3 linked regions of the Bombyx mori genome follow. Each later gene encodes a partner of the first gene's protein in a complex. Links are inferred from orthologs where the notes say so. Each region holds a gene or a part of one and is shown in the gene's direction. Other genes may lie near its edges.

Region 1 (6,219 bases):
CCAAGCATCACCGACTTTCTGCTGAAGGCAGGCACCAACGTGAGAACTGGAAGCGTCGGTGAAAAGCCCTAGTTCAGCGTTAGGCAAAGGGTGTGCCAACAGAGCTGCAGATGACAAGCTATCTTTACAGCATTCTTCGAGCTCAGGTGTCCAAGTGATTGGTGTAAGACCTTTACCTCCAGTGGCCACGATCGCGTTGACTAGCGGTGCTTGTAACTTGGCCGCATTGCGCAGAAATGGGCGATAATAATTAACCATCCCAATGAGAAATAAGAGAAAACCTTTACTGAATATAAGGTTTTAATAAGCTAAAATTAACAGTAAAATTTGCTTTCATTACATTAGATACATTGACAAATAACGAATAAAACAGATTGACAATGACGTCAACTTATGGTTGATAATTTCAACTAAGAAGTTTACATCATTCTCCCGCACTATTTTAAAATATAATCTTTCAAAAATCCTGGCGTTTTATGGACGCGACCAGATCTACGAAGTGTTGGCTCCGGCGGTGGTGATGATGGTAATTCTGTCTCTAGCTCTCTGCTATTATCAAGTACCACAGGTCCCGTTTCATTGGATGAAGGAATCTCCAAGTTTTGGTCTTCTGTTTCCGGAAGTGGTTCTGCGACGTTATGATAATCAATAGTGTGTTCATTATCTATTCGCAGATCTACCCTTTCTGAACCCAATGGTGCTAGATGACGATTCGACACTGTTGTTTCTCGGCCATCTGGAAGCCGAATGTATGAAAAGTCAGGATTGCTGTGTATCAATTCAAGAACGTTAAATTCAAGCGAACAAAACCATTCCGCCATTGAAAAAGAAGCGTACGCCATTGTGGAATCATTGAAGAAATGGAGACATTTCCTTATTGGTAGACACTTTAAGTTGGTTACTGAATTTCAACTAAGAAGTTTACATCACAATGAAACGACGGAGTCCTTGTACAGTCTGTGGTAGAGGAAAATCTTTTAGAGCTTGAATGCGCTCTGATGGTGGTTGTGTTCCGTCGGCGGATATTCTGTTTCCGAGAAAAGTAACCTCAGGAGCACCAAACACGCATTTTGCTGGATTAATAACGATTCCGTAATCTTCAAATCGCTTGAAAAGAGTACGAAGGTGTGCAGCATGTTGAAGAGCATCACGGGAATACACTAATATGTCATCAACGTACGCAAAGCAAAAATCGAGACCTTGGACAACTTCGTCTATAAATCTTTGAAACGTTTGGCCTGCGTTGCGCAGACCAAAAGTCATGTAATTAAATTCGTAGAGTCCGAAGAGTGTTATGATGGCGGTTTTACAGATATCCTCAGGCGCAACAGGAATTTGCTGATATGCCTTAACGAGGTCGATGGTACTAAATATACAACACCCAGATATGTTATGGCCAACGTCACCGATATGGCGAACTGGGTACCTGTCAGGTATGGTACGTGAATTCAACGCACGATAATCGCCGCAGGGTCGCCAGGTGCCGTCGCGCTTAGGGACCATATGAAGTGGAGAAGACCACGAACTTTTCGAAGGTCTGGCTGTCCCGCACTGTACCATATCATCAAAAACCTTTTTGGCCTCTTGAAGTTTTTGAGGTGCCAGACGTCTAGGACGACAAGAGACTGGGGCGCCCTCAGTGGTTAGAATATAATGAACTGTGTTATGCTTCGGCTCACGAATAAGTCCTGGTGGCTTCGTAATGGACGGAAATTCCGCAAGAAGTGCACTAAATTGGGATGACGGCGCGCAGACAACTTTGACGCTGGTCTGGTCTAAAACAGCGACGGCAGCAACGTATGACAACCCGGTAATGCTATCGACGAGTCTCTTACTGGCACAATCTGGCAACAACCGATAATGCGCCAGAAAATCGGAGCCGATGATGGCGGTGTTGACGTCAGCGATAATAAATCGCCATTGAAATGTGCGGCGTAACCCCAAATTAAGCGCCATTTCTATGTGACCAAAAGTGCGTATCTCACTACCATTGGCAGCCGCTAACGTATAGTTTGAACGTACCGGCTTATTTGCTAACCACTGGTATGGGTAACAGGAGAGGTCGGAGCCTGTGTCTATTAAAAAACGGCGCTTGGTTGCGCTTTCGGTGACAAATAATCGGCGACTCTCCTTTAAGCAGTCAGACGTCGCCATCATTGACTGCTTTTGTCGTTTTCCGAAGATGGCGGCGGCGTCCAGGTACATGGTTGAATACACTTAACAGCTTTAGTATTAAATTTCCTATGGTAAAAGCACATTTGAAGCTTACCAGGCGTTTGTGAGCGTCGTCGCTGGTTTGAGAAATCCCGGGTCCTATTTCTACCGCGCTCTGCAGTAAGCACAGCAAGCTGACGCGTGACCTCATCCAGACGCCGTGTGATATCTTCTAACGAAGGGGTTGAGACGGCAGACGTACTTGCTGAGAAAACAGCAGATGAATGAGGTGCGACCATACCAGGCGAAACTTCCAAAATTTTGTCCGCTAGCTCAGCGACTTTGTCCAGCGAGAGTTCTGATTGGGCGGCCAAAATTGCTTGGAGATGTTGTGGGAGGCGACGCATCCATAGCTGGCGAAGCAAATTTTCATCAGTGAGGGTTTTTCCTGCCAATGATCTAAGATAACGTAAAAACTGCGAAGGACGGCGGTCACCCAACTCAACATCACTGACAAGTTGCCTGACACGTTGCTCATTAAATTGGAAAAATCTTAGTAAATAACCACCATTTTACTGAGATTATATTTCATCCCATATCATCTCATTTCATTTAATTTCATCTCAGTTGATTAATGTCTCAAATTAATCATCTTCGTTTCATTTCATTTCATCTCACTCCATATTATCATTTTGCATAAAAATAATAATATAAATTAAAATAAGAAATGACTTAAAGGTCTTAGTTACCAGGTCACACTACCCTGAAAAAAAACACGATAACATAACCTACAAAATAAAGTTTAAAAAATAATTGAACGAAAATAATATATTTATTAGTCTTTATTCTTTAATAACCATAACGTCCATAACCAATCTCATGAATTATTAGAATCACCGCGAATTTTAAAAACGGAATCGACTATGATAATATAACATAGTAAAAAGCAAATATTTTTAACAAAACAATTCAACATATTGAACAATTCATTATTTTTTAATGTGTTTTTGTTAGAAGTTAAATAATGCCCGCTGCCGATCTACTCTCGAGTCAAGGACTACGTCTTGACGGGCGGAGACCCAATGAATTACGTCGGATAAGATGTAAACTTGGTGTATTCACCCAGCCTGATGGAAGTGCGTATCTCGAACAAGGAAACACGAAAGTGCTTGCAGCCGTGTATGGACCCCATCAGGTATATGATACAAACGATTTACAAATACTGATTAGTTTACCGTGGCAAAACGTCTGTAAATCTGCCTGAGTAAATAATCATCACTATCCCGCTACTTCTGCTACAAAATTGCACTATTTCTGCTACAAAAGTGTAATGCCTTCTGGCTTGAAGAATAAGACAGCTATTTTACAATATTGAAGTATCGACCCATGTGCCAAGGTCGCATTCACGTCTTGATGTGTTTCAGCTTTAGTAACCAAATTCTTACCAAGTAGCTGGTAAAAAATATGTATTTACACATTTTAGGTACTTCATTTTCGGACACGTTCTTCATAAATGAAAAACCTTCATTATAATTTAAAATGTTTTTCAGGCTTCAAAATCGAAGATGTCGACAGAAGCTGTAGTTGTCAACTGCCAATACAGTATGGCTACATTCTCAACAGGTACCCATTGAGAGTTCAACATATTTTCAAAAGCCTCTTCAAATAAATGAGATTATATATAGAGAAAAAAATCTGTATGAGCTTAATCGCACATTAAAAATACACAAGTTAATAACATCCGTGGATTTCCAATCAATCTTAGAATTAATTTCAGTGTGTACATTTATTTGTTCCTGCACATCATCAGACCTACTGAACCAGATACGTTTACTACGTACGTGTAGTTTTTTTTATGGTGGACAAAAATTTGTTTGTAACAGAATAAAGGTTTTGTTTTATTTTAATCAAAAGATGCAAAAAGTTTTCATCATTTAAAGTTTTATGGAATTTACTTAGTGCCATTATATGTTAGAAAATATACAGCAAATAATAACATGAAAATGAAAGAAACTCTACTATGGGAAATTAAATAGGATGCATTTTATCCTAGTGTTAAGCACAGTCAGCGGCAGGCAATAGCTCTGCCCCTGACATTGCTGAAGTCAATGGGCGACATTACTGTGTGGTTACCCACTCACCATCAAGTAGGCCGTATGCTCGTCTGCCTACAAGAGAATAAAAAAAATTCTCCACTCACATAATATAATATGTAATTTAGGTAAGCATATAGCTGGCAGATAGGCAGTTATATTATAAATGTTATACATTTGAAAACAATACAATTATGTATGTGATAAGCCTGCAGAAGTAGGTACTGTTATATGTTTACAATGAAGCAATCATGCTTTGCAGTTTCATAATACATTTGAGATTTTGACTGTCTCTCAAAATCGGTGGCATTATACACACTGCGATGTCTATGTATTCTACCCATTTAAAAGTTAAAACTAGGATATTCCCTCGTCAGTACAAAAAGAAACTAAGATAGACCCAAAGATATGAATATTCTTATCTACACAACTTATAAGGGTTATTATATATATATGCCTATTAGGCTACATAACTTATTATTTTTTTTTTTTTTATTGCTTAGATGTGTGGACGAGCTCACAGCCCACCTGATGTTAAGTGGTTACTGGAGCCCATAGACATCTACAACGTAAATGCGCCACACACCTTGAGATACAGTTTTAAGGTCTCAGTATAGTCACAACGGCTGCACCACCCTTCAAACCGAAACGCATTACTGCTTCACGGCAGAAATAGGCGGGGCGGTGGTACCTACCCGTGCGGACTCACAAGAGGTCCTACCACCAGTAATTACGCAAATTATAATTTTGCGGGTTTTTTTTATTACACGATGTTATTCCTTCACCGTGGAAGTCAATCGTGAACATTTGTTGATTACGTATTTCATTAGAAAAATTGGTACCCGCCTGCGGGATTCGAACACCGGTGCATCGCTTCAACACGAATGCACCGGACGTCTTATCCGTTAGGCCACGACGACTTCTAAACGACTTATTATCGAACATTTCGCATCTAGGTGAACGAAAGAACCGACCTCGCGGGGACCGCAAGTCACAAGAAATGTCAATGCATCTCCGACAAGCTCTAACTGCTGCTATTAAAACTGAAATGTATCCAAGGTCGCAAATAGATATATACATAGAAGTATTACAGGTAAAACATATAATTTTTTTTTTTTAAATCCTTATCGACGGATTATATGCTATTTGGGTTATACGACATTTCGTTTACTATGCGATATTTATCTTTCTAATTAAAGGTCGGTTTTATTTAGTATTAGTATCACCAATCCAATGTTTTTAATTGAACTTCAGTTAAGTTTACCGCATTCAAATAGCTGAAGAAGTTTTTGTTGTTGCGATATTTTTTTCAAATTTTAAACTTTAAATGGCTCTCCTGTAAAGTAACAAAAATGTCGCTTAAACGAAATGGCCTTTCACCCATCCTTATGATAGCTGAGTCAAGAGCAGGTGACCTCACAGCTTGCTTGAAGTTCAGCGGTCACAAGTGTTCAAACAACTAAGCGTTTATGGTTTTTTCCCCAAATTTTTTTTTCCATTTTTGTTCTGTATGACTTATTTCTGAGAAATGTAATGCTAATCAAACTATATAAACAAAAATGAACTGTGAATATTTTCTCTGCGTACCAGTGCTGGTTTTTCAGTTCCTAACATGAGACAAAGGGACAGACTGTTTCAATGGATAGTGGGATTATACAAAAAAAAGTGTGCAACTGAAGTTTGCCTAGCAAGAAGCATAAGATATCCACCCAGACAAGTTGTATTTTAACAGGCCGATGGTGGTACGTATTGTGCCAGCGTGAATGCAGCCAGTCTAGCGCTGATAGACTCTGGTATACCTCTGAGAGCGTACGTGACCGCCTGCTCGGCGTCCCTGGGCCGACAAAGCGCCACCCACGAGCCCCTGGTGGACGTTAGTCACATCGAGGAAGCAGCCGATGGAGTATGTTTGACCGTAGCCAGCTTACCCAGCACAGGTTAGTGTAATTACCATGTCACTGCAACTTCAGAT
Region 2 (6,405 bases), on another chromosome or scaffold:
CCATTAATTTCATACTATTTACCCCCACTTACATCGACATACTTACCTAACTCCTTCACTGAAATGCCAGCAAAAATCTGTCTTGTTTTATTTTTAACTTTTTTATTTGCCGCCACGATGAATAAAAAAAATTATATGTGGTACCTACATAAACAACATTAGCATTGGTTTGTTTTGACCCATCAAGCTGCATAGATTGCACTCTGGGTGGTTAGTGCGAGTTTTTTAACGTTCTCGATAGTGTAAAAGTTAATTCAAATTTCTGTGCAGTTGGAACAGCGCCCATAGCGGCAAACGTAGGAAAACGTTACGCTATATACAGGTTTATTCGAATAATTTGTCTCATTCCGGGACTATTTATAATCATGGCATGTAATATTATTTTATATTATTGCACCGATCGCGTTAGTAATAGTTCGTTAATACTTTTGCCACTCAGGTCAACTATGAATATGTTTGTTAAAGATTCCGGTTACATCCAGTTTACTTGTTCTTTTATCATCCCTTTCTGGCAAATCCATAACCCAGGAAGTGTTATAACCCACTGAGTTTCTCATAGAATCTTCTCAGTGGGTCGCGTTTCAGATCTCGTGGTAGATTCTGTGAAGCACTGCTCTTGGTATGACCAGTGTTAGCAACACCTCCGGCTTGAGTTCCGAGAGCTCACCTACACGCTAGGGTAACGCTGATATAGCCTCTCAAGGCTATCAGCATAGGTAGGAAAAAAAAGTATTTTAGTTACTTACATGTGGAAAAGTTATTTACTCGTCTATATTGTGGCCGATCGCCAGGCGTACCAGTTCTTTTCCAACGGAGTGGGCGACTCTAATATTATGATGCGTTTGTCGTGCTTGTCCGCCGTGAGTTGTAGCGCATATAAAAATAACGCTCGCGCGAAATATTGTGGATAGCTCTTAAATTTTGATTAATTATAAAAAATAACGTTAGCCTGAATGTGGTTTTAGTTAGATTTCCGAGTAATACTGTTGCAGCGGTACTGCAGTAATTGATCTCATAGATAAATAAAACTCGATCGTTTTTTTATCGAGCCAATTTGGTGCAAATACTATGGTTTGTGAAGTTTCCAGTACATCATTTTTGTAAGTCGTTAACAAAGTAGTAAATAAGGTTGCCTTCTTTTGTAACGCCGTAGCAAAGCATATACATATAGGTACTAGGACCTCTTGTGAGTCCGCACGGGTAGGTGCCACTGCCCTGCCTATTTCTGCCGTGAAGCAGTAATGCGTTTCGGTTTCAAGGGTGGAGTAGACATTGTAACTATACTGAGACCTTAGAACTTACATCTCAAGGTGGGTGGCGCATTTACTTTGTAGATGTCTATGGGCTCCAGTAACCACTTAACATCAGGTGGGCTGTGAGCTCGTCCACCCACCTAAGCGATTAAAAAAATTAAAAAAGCTTTTACTTTAACAATTTAACAATTTTTAGTGCTACAAGATTATATAAAATACAGAAATTCAACAATATTAAAAATATAAACGTTTTTGTTTGAAAAAACAATAATGGAATATTGTCCATGCAGATTCGATTTTAATTCAAAGAGGCCACCTGCTTAAAGCCGCAACTAGAAAATTTCAATACTAAAATCATCCTATAAAGGTTCTTCAATCAAAATACAAAATAATATAGTTTTTTTATAAGGTATCATCCACATAAAGCTTTCATGTTTTCGTTCTTACAAAATGATCAATAGTACATTAATGGCATGTCGGCATAACTGATTACTAGGGTGATAGTCATATGTGATCACATTTGTGGTAGGTACCTACATATAAAACTAGGTTGTTAGTTTATGTAATATATAAGATTTTTTTTTGTTTTTTTTTTTTTTTGTTATGTCAAATTATAGCACGATTGTACAAGGAGCACCTCGCAAAAAGGGCTACTGTAGCTTATGGACATAACAATTCTATATGCTAACGGAGAATATTGTGGAGAAGAGTTTTTTACCCTTGAGTTGGATTGTCCGCGGCACGGAATAGATAAATAAGGTTATTTATATATTTATATACAACCTTATTTATATATAAATAAGGTTATATATAACCTTATTTATAACCTTATTTATATATATATATATTTATATATATTTATATATATAAATATTATATATATATAAATATAAATATATAATATTTATATATATAAATATTATATATTTATATATATATAAATATATAATATTTATATATATATATAAATATATATATAAATATAATATTTTTATATATAACCTTATATATAAATATTATATATTTATATATAAGGTTATATATAAATATATAATAATAAATAAGGTTATTTATATATTTATATATAACCTTATTTATCTATTCCGTGGTCCGCGGAGTAAGTGATTCTATAAAAGGCACTCACTGTACGAGTTGTACGTGTTTTCATTTTTTTATTTCTCTTGGGTGTAGTGAGGTGTGTTTTCCAAAGCTGGTCGCGTGGTAAAAAATACATAACCAAAGCCTCTCCGTAAACTTAGGTCTACATTCTAAAGGATCCGTATACCACGCGAGCAGAAACCTGTGATTTGTATGTATAGTCATCCAGGACATAGGATATTTTGCATATATAGATATATTTCGTGACGAGGTAATAACTCAATAAAAAGCTACATAGGGCAACGAAGAGCGGATAGTACAAGATCATGCCGAAGATCTCCCATGCAGTGGATCAACTAAATCAATTTCTCCGAATTTTACATTACTCCTAACAGAATGTGCCGAAAATAGTGACCAGTATAAACTCAGAAATTAGCTATAGATAGATTGCGATAGGTAGCATCTTCCTTATGTTTGCTAGACTGAATATTTCTACTCGAAATCAATAGCTGTGTGATTTTAATAGTCGACTAGCGACCTGCCCTCGCTTCGCTTCGGATACTACAATTTATTTATTATTGATTTTATTGAATTTTCATTTATACAAATCTGAACCTGAGAAAACGACGTAATATATTGTATTGGGTAATCCATAATGCTCTACCACGTGGCTCTCAAACTACTTTGTGAGCACTGCCATTACCATATCAACTTTTTTAAATACACTCACTTCTGGCTGCCTCTGGCAATTCATAGAGCTTCAAACTTACTTTACGCTCTTTCAATTGATACGCCGCTTCAATCGGAACTTGCAAACGTATTTTGCATCAGACACGTGCTGATAAAAGTCCATTGTTTATCAATATTACTTTACCTTGAAAGTTGGCATAAAATTTTCCTGAATAACTTTTGTTGCTCCAAAGAACGTCATTTGAAAGCAGTTATTGTTTTGCTGGATATGAGTCAAAAATCTGGCCCATTTCCGGAAACCAACGAATGTATTTTTTTCCTATCTATGTGATAGCTTTAGAGGCTATTTCAGCTTCACTCTAACGTGTAGGGTGTAGGTGGGCTCACGGTGCTCAAGCCGGGAGTGTTGCCAACACTGGCCCTAGCAAGAGCTGTGCTTCGCAGAATCTAGGTAGCACCGGTTGTAAAACGCGACCCGCTGAGAAGATCCGGCGAGAAACTCAGTGGGCAACTAAATGTAGTGGCGTTCATTGGTCCGCAAAACAACGATTTTCTGTAAACTGTCAAATTCATTCTTTACATGCTCTTAAGTATCTATGTTATCAATATACCTAATTCCGACCGAAGCATTTGTTTTAAACGATATTCAGTTTTTTTACATCCTCTTTTACCATATTTGCAGCACGCGTTCTGTCAATGCTATGTCAAATGCCTTATGATTTACATTAGAAAACCATTAGAAAATTTAATACGGTGGTTATTTACCTTTACATTACGCAGTTCATTTTAACATAAATAAGATTACAATTCAAAAATCGGTGTATGTGCGGTGTCATAGAATAGCAGCACCGCCCCATCTCATCCCATGGGTGTTGTAAAGGTTGTCTAAGGATGGTTCAACGGAGAATGGTTAAGTGTTTTTTAGTAGGTATCATACCAAACTGACCTATGATCGTTAACTGGCGTTCCCTGGGTTGGTTGTGGGGCCGTGAGCTCGTTCACCTATCTACGCAAAAAAATGTAGTTTGCGTATTAATTGGGACATTAAGCTCACATCGAATATGTAAGAGAGCACTGGTAAGTAAAATAATTATATTATTTATTTTAGCAGTAAAACATTAATGGGGTTTGGTGGTTTGAAAGATGTTTATAGAATACAATTTGAATTTCGAGCTCTGCCCATATCCCAGGTGTTGTTATTCATATCTTAGCTTGTGCCTATATAGTTTGTGTTTGTGTCAGCCGCTTACGTACCTGCCTATCTGTTCACCTGTGCCCCAGATATTACTTGAGCTCCTGTGCTACTCTAGAGTTCGAACAAAATGTAATTTTTATCAATCATAGAATTAAAATTTTTAATATATACATTTTAAGTATTATTATATAATATTTATAATATTTACATTTGTCCGAGCCGTAGCACAGTACGGATCTCTCCGGAACGTTGTTACGCTCCTCGTGAAATATACGCAGTTCTCGTGAAGTTTTAAGTATTAATTAAGATCTGAGGTCGAGACTTATCTAGGTTGGATTAACCAGGAGCCGAAGAGCGCATGATCAGAATTGTATCATTTTCACAGTTCGATGTCGCTTCAAATTTAGTATCTGTTAACGTACCTATATAAAAAGTGAAACAAAATCTGTGGACGTGACTTTTCGAGGTCTTCCAAAAAGGTTTTGGAAGTACCTAGTACATTTCTATATGTAGCAAACGCCACCAGTTGCTGTAGAGTAATTCCATAATCCACAATAATTCCTTTGAAGTTTCAATAAATTTTCACAATATGACAGGTCATTTTAATTTAATCACAGCTAATTTAAATTAAACAGTTAAAGGTGTGACTTTCATTTGGTTTAGTTCTTTAGGCTATATTCCCTTTGCCTGTTTAATTGAACAAGTGGAATTAAAAAAAAAGTTTAACAGATAACCTAAGAAAAATAATCACACATTTATTGCTAGGTATGCCTCTTTAAACAGAATATTCACAAAAAAATATGAACCAATAACAAAATGCGTGATACTTGTTTATCGAATTGTGAAAAGAATTTCATACAAAAGATCGTATCTCAAGGACATGTAAGTTGAAACTAATAGAATATAACCTAAGACTCTTCTACAAAAGTAATTTGGAAATAAATTGATTACAGCGCTTGGACGGTCGAAATTTTAATGAAACCCGAAAACTAGATATATCATTTGGTTCTGAATATGGTTGCTGTATTGTGTCTTTGGGAGAAACGAAGTAAGTTGGAACTGAATCACTAACAAATTGTAAATAAACAAAGTAAATGAAGCAGTATATACTGTTATTTTTGTATTTAAACAGCGTTTATTGGATAGATAGAACAATTGAAGGATATAGAGAAACAAATTCAGTAGACCTGTCTTGTATTCTTAGATTGATTTATTTTGTTATTAATTTAACCACATCTTGAAAATGTTAAAATGATATTATGTAAATAAACTTGAATGAAAAGTAAAAAATCGTTAACATAAAAGAATACTATCACAGAATATTGGATAGAAATTTTGCAATACAATTAACTGACTTCATGTCTTAAAGTGAGTGTCTTTGTGATCTGTGAACCAGCACAGCAACAAGGAAATGCTCCATTGCTCATTAATTAACAGTTTTCAGATATGATGAATAAGAGAATAACACCTAAACTTTAAATGAATTTGTCCTAAAATTGCTAAAGCCTTATGAGCTACTTACTTATTTATGAACTTGACCTAAAGGGTAATATTAAGCTATCAATATTAAATGACTACTATCTTAAAATTACATTGGTGTGGGATCCCTAGTGCCCAATGAGATCTGTAGAATATGAAAAATTGTTTTCATTGGTGGCATTCACTGGAGTTGGGGGACATGGGTAACTAAAAAGTAAATTACTCAATTTCAGGATCCTATCAGAAGTCACATGTGAAGTCGCTCAGCCAAAACAAATAAGACCAAATGAAGGCATCATATTTATTAATGTTGAACTTAATCCTATGGCCGCTCCACAGTTTGAAGCCAATAGACAAACAGATCTCACTGTTTATCTTGTAAGATTATTAGAAAAATGTTACAAAGATTCAAAATGCATAGACCTGGAATCACTCTGCATTGTAGTAGAAGAAAAGGTAAATTTAAAAAAATCTTACCTTAATAGATCTAGATGTAAGCAATTCTGTATGCCATATGGACAGAATTATTTCACACTATGATGTTTTCCTGTTTTGTAATTATTTCCACTATTAATTTAAAATATTTCTAAAGTATTTATTTCCAAACTCTAGATAACATTTGTAGTAACTTTTAAATATCTGAAGATAGGCTGCAATGTAGGCAGTGGGTGTGGTGTCTTCCGTCTAGCC
Region 3 (5,701 bases), on another chromosome or scaffold:
ATGCCCGGAATACGTGTCAAAAGCATGACAGATTAATATCAACAATAATTGTAATTATACTAGCAAAAGAACTAACGGCATATTAGGGCTTATACCTTAATCTTGTAGTCATCTCCGCCCGACACGAAAAGAGGCTGTTGAATATGGAAGCAAATTCCACGTACTGGACCATCATGTTCATCAAATTTCTCAAGTAATGTACACATACGATAATCCCAAAGTTGAATCACACCATTGTGCAAACTAGCCAGCACCCATGGTCGCTTAGCATGAAACGATATGCCTTTCACCCGCGCAGACTTCGTCTCGAATTTTTTTAACATTTTGATTCAAACACCGCTGAAATAATACGAAAAACTACAAAAATTAAAACAAGCGCAATGACAGCCAACCGGCTGACGTGACACGTCCAACACAGAATAGTGCTGAGCTTGTAATTGATCAAAATTGAAAATATCGACAAATCTGAACAAAACTATCGATGTTAATTTGATCAAATCATTAACTAATTTTGAATGGAAACGAATAAACACACCAATTAAAATCACATATTTCGTATCTTCTTAATGGTTGTAATCATCAGTATAATTAGCGTTATTAAAAAACTTTGAGAGTCGGGTAGCCTGGTTGAGTTAAATTTATCTTTCCTGATGAATCAATGGTTAGCTTTTTTATTTATTGCTTAGATGAGTGGAGGAGCTTACAGCCCACCTGGTGTTAAGTGGTTACTGGAGCCCATAGACATCTACAACGTAAATGCGCCATCCATTTTGAGATATAAGTTCTAAGGTCTCAAGTATAGTTACAACGGCTGCCCCACCCTTCAATCCGAAACGCATTACTGCTTCACGGCAGAACTAATGCTGGTACCTACCCGCGCGGACTCACAAGAGACCCTACCACCAGTAATTACGCAAATTATAATTTTGCGGGTTTGATTTTTATTACACGATGTTATACCTCCACCTTGGGAGTCAATCGTGAACATTTGTTGAGTACGTATTTCATTAGTAAAATTGGTACCCGCCTGGGATTCGAAACACCGGTGCATCGCTCAACACGAATGCACCGGATGTCTTATCCTATAAGCCAAGACGATGTTAGCTGTGAGTGTTTTGAGTTAATAATATAAATAAGGTTCAAAAATCATTTATTTCAACTTAGATGTCAGTATAACATAGATTTTCACGAACCATATCGTAGCACTAACAATAATCAGTAATTAATTATGTAGATAAAATATATTATTATGGCTAGTAAGATTTTACGAAAATAAGTGAGAATATTTTGCATCATCCAAGTCGATTATGATATTTTAGTAGATGAAATAATAGAGGAAAAACAAATACTGGTGGTAGTGGTGGTGGTACCCTCTTCCTTACTAACGTTTTTTCCGTGGTAGGGAGACGAGCACACGTTCCACCTGGTAAGTAGTCAAAGTAGTAAAGTGGAAAGCCAGCAACGCCATTGCTTACTGCAACAATATTTTTTAATTATTTAGACGAGTGAGAGACGAGACAAAGTCCAGGCCCATCTGGTATTAAGTGGTCACTAGAGCCCATAGACATTTTTTGATTCAATTTTTCCTTATTAGGAAAGGCAAGGGGATCTAAACCCATACAGCCTTGTGTGTTGTATATAATTTCTAAAATGAATTTTCAAAAAAGCCGAAGCCAGGTCTTATATGATTTATATTATATCCTGAAATAAAAAAATCATTAAGGCAGAAGCCAAGTCCTTTATAATTTCTTTCTGAAATAAAACCCAGAGACATCGTAACCTTAATGCCACTATCGATCCCTAGATATGAGTTTTAAGTCTCAGTATTAAAGTACAACAGCTGCCCCATCCTTCATACAGAAATGCATTACTGCTTCGTGACAGAATAATTGAATAGGCAGAGTACTGGTATTTGCTTGTGCTGGCTCACACCACCAATGAATGATCTACAGTAAATCCACATTAGTTCCAGTAGTACCAGTCGACAACGCAAATATTTTTATTATTCTTGGTTTACAAGGTCCTCGCACCTAAGGGGCACGTGGAGAAAAGCTTACCTGAGATCAAAATGTAAATAGCCCAACGTGGGTCTCGAATGACGACTCTGAGATTATGAGTCTCATGCTCTGACTGAGTTATCCGGGATTTTACAAAGGGAATGTCACATCTCAACAATTTAAATAAAAATTGATTTCGTTGCGTTGTACGTTTCATGGAAGAAATGTCACCCTCTATTACGAAATGATTAAGCTCTATAAACTTTGTTTCTTTTACTTAATTAATCAAAGAACGAACAAAAAAACATTTGCACTTTTGTATAATCTATGATTTCACTACGCGATTAAAAAAAAGATCATAACCATAGATTATACACCTAATTTATTTGAGAATCTTATCTTCGCTAGAAGTAATAGTGTTCTGTGATCTTAACTTATGTACATAACAAATAACAAACTGTAACTGGAATTAATAAACAACACAGTTCAACACACTATTATAAGACAGTTTACAATTAAAGACACGTTTTAGCTGTGACGAAAATAATCTAACCGAACTTTAAGTTGTAGTTCAAGTTAAATTGTAAATTCTAACCTCTACTACATTATGAATTTGGAAGAAAAAATAAAAGAAATAGGTTCAATATGTATTCCTGGAATGCGACTGAGTTTATCAAACAAAGACAACGTATCAGGGCCGGGAACCTATGAATTGAAAGGATATATTTATGCGGCTTTAGCTGGAATCTTGAAAACAGAAGAGGATGAAAACACCAAAGTAAATAACGTTACAGTCTTTGTATAAGCTGCCACTGATTGCTAAAACGATTTTATTGCAACCGTCATCCGTGCCTCTTTAATTGTGACTTAAAATGCCCATAAATATGCTCTGCAAAACACTACATTACCATGGACGAAGATAGGTACTGTAGCTTAACAGGTATATCATATGGAATTTACTGCCTGTAGAAGACACTTATGGACACTCGGTTTTATGGTCTTTAGTTTAGGCTTGCTCACTATTTCAAGCAGACGCTTCTTTTAGCAGCAGAATATTTTTTTATGCAATAGCAGATGAAATTCTAAATTCACCCCAGAATTCTATTTCAACAAAATAGAAAATGAAACAAATGAAAAAACCTATAAATTAAACTAATGATTGAAAATTTTTTAGGCTAATATAATTTCAGTAGAAAGTTCAAGAACACCAAGTGTTTTACCCAACACAGGTGACATAGTAACCGCAAAAGTAACAGTTGTAAATCCAAGAACTGTACAATGCCTAATCCTCTGTGTTGGCCCTTCAGTACTTGTTAGAATGTACAAAGGAATATTAAAAAAAGAAGATATAAAGGCAACAGAGAAAGACAGAGTTGATCCATATAAATGTTTTAGACCTGGAGATATTATACTAGCTAGAGTTGTATCCTTTACAATATTATAAACTTGTTAGTATTCAAAAAACCTTTTCACTTTTAATAATGACTTACTCTTTGTTTGTATTTGACTCATTAGATGGGTCTTTACATTATGTACTAACCTTATAGTTTGCCTACCACATGAAACACTTGAGCATTGTGGGATTTTGGAGTCACATTTGCTTAGAAATTATGATTATACTGCAAAATAGAATGCAGTTTTGGTTTTGTATAACATCAAACTCTATGTCTACTCAAGCTTGAAAAATACATCTATTATATTCACTGAATATTAAATAATATATAATCATTTTCCTAAACTGGAATTCAGTTACCAATGACGGAAATCCACTGGTACCAATTATCGACTGCAGAAAATGAACTGGGAGTTGTTATCGCTACAGCTGAAGGATCACCGCAAGGGGTCAGCATGGTACCAATAAGCTGGTCAGAGATGCAGTGCCCTAAAACTCTAGTCAAAGAACCAAGGAAAGTTGCTAGAGTTATACCGGAAAATATTAATCAATCACTCTTTCCAGTTCATTCAAAGCAAGACAATCATCACACTGATAAATAATTTTTATTTCAATTACAGACATGTTTTATTTTATTAAATTTTAGGCAAACAATGTATTCATAAAAAATTATATTAACTCTAATCTATTTCTGAAACTTGGAATGTTGATTATGAGAGTAAAACTATTACCAAAGTCAAGGGTTAAAAATTTTTGCTGACTGTTGAATACTCGCAAACTCTGGGTATTAATTTGGCTGTAACCAAGCACATTGGTTTTAGTCTAAGGTAGTACCCCTGAACACCAGCTGTACCGCTTCGGCGGCCTTGTTAACATATTCGTTTTTCTGGGTTACTCCCACGGACTGCATTCTTCAAGCAGCAACAAAACATAATAACTAAAAGTTTAAGTGTACTTTTTTCACCTTGAAGGATTGACATCATGTAATAAAAATCAAACCTGTAAAAATTTTAATTTCCATAATAATTGGTTTTCATTTCCATTGGCTTATTTTTTCCTGAAGCGTTAGGTAATGAGTTACAGTTGTACAGACTGTAAGGACACATGTCTTAAGAAAGGACGGCAGTTGATAATATCTGTAGTAGTGGTGGGCAAATATTTTTAATGGCGGGCCACAAAGTTTAAGAAATTCTAGAGGAGGTCCAGAATTATAGAAAAATGCATTTTGTATTAAAGCATTTTAATAATCAAAATACCTTTTACTATTACGCCTTATTTGGCGTGTGGGACGTGAGGTGTGTGAGAGATGGTGATGGAGGTGAAAAGAATGGTTTTTTGCCAATAAATAAACTAATACCTGTGACAGACTGCCGAGATAATTATAATGATGGCAAGTTAATTAGATAATGAAATAATAAATGAGATAATGAAAGCTCAAAACACCCTTGACGAATAGGAACTTTCATTAAAAATTCGAAGATTTTCAATTATAAACGACAGACTTTATTTTACGCGCCAAAATGCTGACCACGGATGTATCCATACAGTCCATAAAGACTGGATCTCGGATGCATACTTTGTGTTGTAGTTTTCACTAAAGTCACTATGTACAATGCATTCTTCTGTAGTTACATTTTCTTTTAACTGTTTTATGTGATTATATTGTCCTGTAATATTTCCATAGTGGCGCACGTTTTTTTTATTTATTTTTTATTGCTTAGATGGGTGGACGAGCTCACAGCCCACCTGGTGTTAAGTGGTTACTGGAGCCCATATACATCTACAACGTAAATGCGCCACCCACGTTGAGATATAAGTTCTAAGGTCTCAGTAAAGTTACAACGGCTACCCCACCCTTCGAACCGAAACGCATTACTGCTTCACGGCGGAAATAGGCGGGGTGGTGGTACCTACCCGTGAGGACTCCCAAGAGGTCCTACCACCAGTGATTACGCAAATTATAATTTTGCGGGTTTGATTTTTATTACACGATGTTATTCCTTCACCGTGGAAGTCAATCGTGAACATTTGTCGAGTACGTATTTCATTAGAAAAATTGGTACCCGCCTGCGGGATTCGAACACCGGTGCATCGCTACACACGAATGCACCGGACGTCTTATCCTTTAGGCCACGACGACTTCTAAGGTTCTGTAAGGTTCTAATAGTTTATGAAACTGTTCAATTATGTTTCTGGGAAACTCTACGACTTTCTCTTTAATTGTTTGAAGAGTAGATTTTTCTTGGCTATCTTTGAAGTAAGTTTTTTTTACCTTTTTCCAAGTCCAGTCTCTTTAGAGTTATCAAATTCC

The links.
Region 2: exosome complex component RRP41 (region 1) and exosome complex component RRP45 share a complex: the UniProt entries of both Homo sapiens proteins name them as parts of the RNA exosome core complex. The link is inferred for Bombyx mori from reciprocal best matches to the Homo sapiens genes EXOSC4 and EXOSC9.
Region 3: exosome complex component RRP41 (region 1) and exosome complex component CSL4 share a complex: the UniProt entries of both Homo sapiens proteins name them as parts of the RNA exosome core complex. The link is inferred for Bombyx mori from reciprocal best matches to the Homo sapiens genes EXOSC4 and EXOSC1.

Annotation. Positions count from the first base shown.
Region 1 is NC_085134.1:3,234,942-3,241,160, reverse strand, and holds the start of exosome complex component RRP41, read left to right. Parts: upstream 1-2,758; 5' UTR 2,759-3,178; coding exon 3,179-3,349; intron 3,350-3,704; coding exon 3,705-3,777; intron 3,778-5,203; coding exon 5,204-5,340; intron 5,341-5,979; coding exon 5,980-6,184; intron 6,185-6,219. UniProt on the Homo sapiens protein: Non-catalytic component of the RNA exosome complex which has 3'->5' exoribonuclease activity and participates in a multitude of cellular RNA processing and degradation events.
Region 2 is NC_085119.1:13,154,445-13,160,849, reverse strand, and holds the start of exosome complex component RRP45, read left to right. Parts: upstream 1-2,411; 5' UTR 2,412-2,448; intron 2,449-2,527; 5' UTR 2,528-2,562; intron 2,563-3,654; exon of another isoform or gene 3,655-3,723; 5' UTR 3,724-4,118; intron 4,119-4,295; exon of another isoform or gene 4,296-4,347; intron 4,348-4,444; exon of another isoform or gene 4,445-4,535; intron 4,536-4,658; exon of another isoform or gene 4,659-4,889; intron 4,890-5,001; 5' UTR 5,002-5,052; coding exon 5,053-5,118; intron 5,119-5,189; coding exon 5,190-5,284; intron 5,285-5,948; coding exon 5,949-6,171; intron 6,172-6,405. UniProt on the Homo sapiens protein: Non-catalytic component of the RNA exosome complex which has 3'->5' exoribonuclease activity and participates in a multitude of cellular RNA processing and degradation events.
Region 3 is NC_085132.1:3,511,860-3,517,560, forward strand, and holds exosome complex component CSL4, read left to right. Parts: upstream 1-2,243; 5' UTR 2,244-2,604; coding exon 2,605-2,775; intron 2,776-3,171; coding exon 3,172-3,420; intron 3,421-3,746; coding exon 3,747-3,992; 3' UTR 3,993-4,007; downstream 4,008-5,701. Other genes in the region: COPA (coatomer protein complex subunit alpha), read right to left, coding at 96-323. UniProt on the Homo sapiens protein: Non-catalytic component of the RNA exosome complex which has 3'->5' exoribonuclease activity and participates in a multitude of cellular RNA processing and degradation events.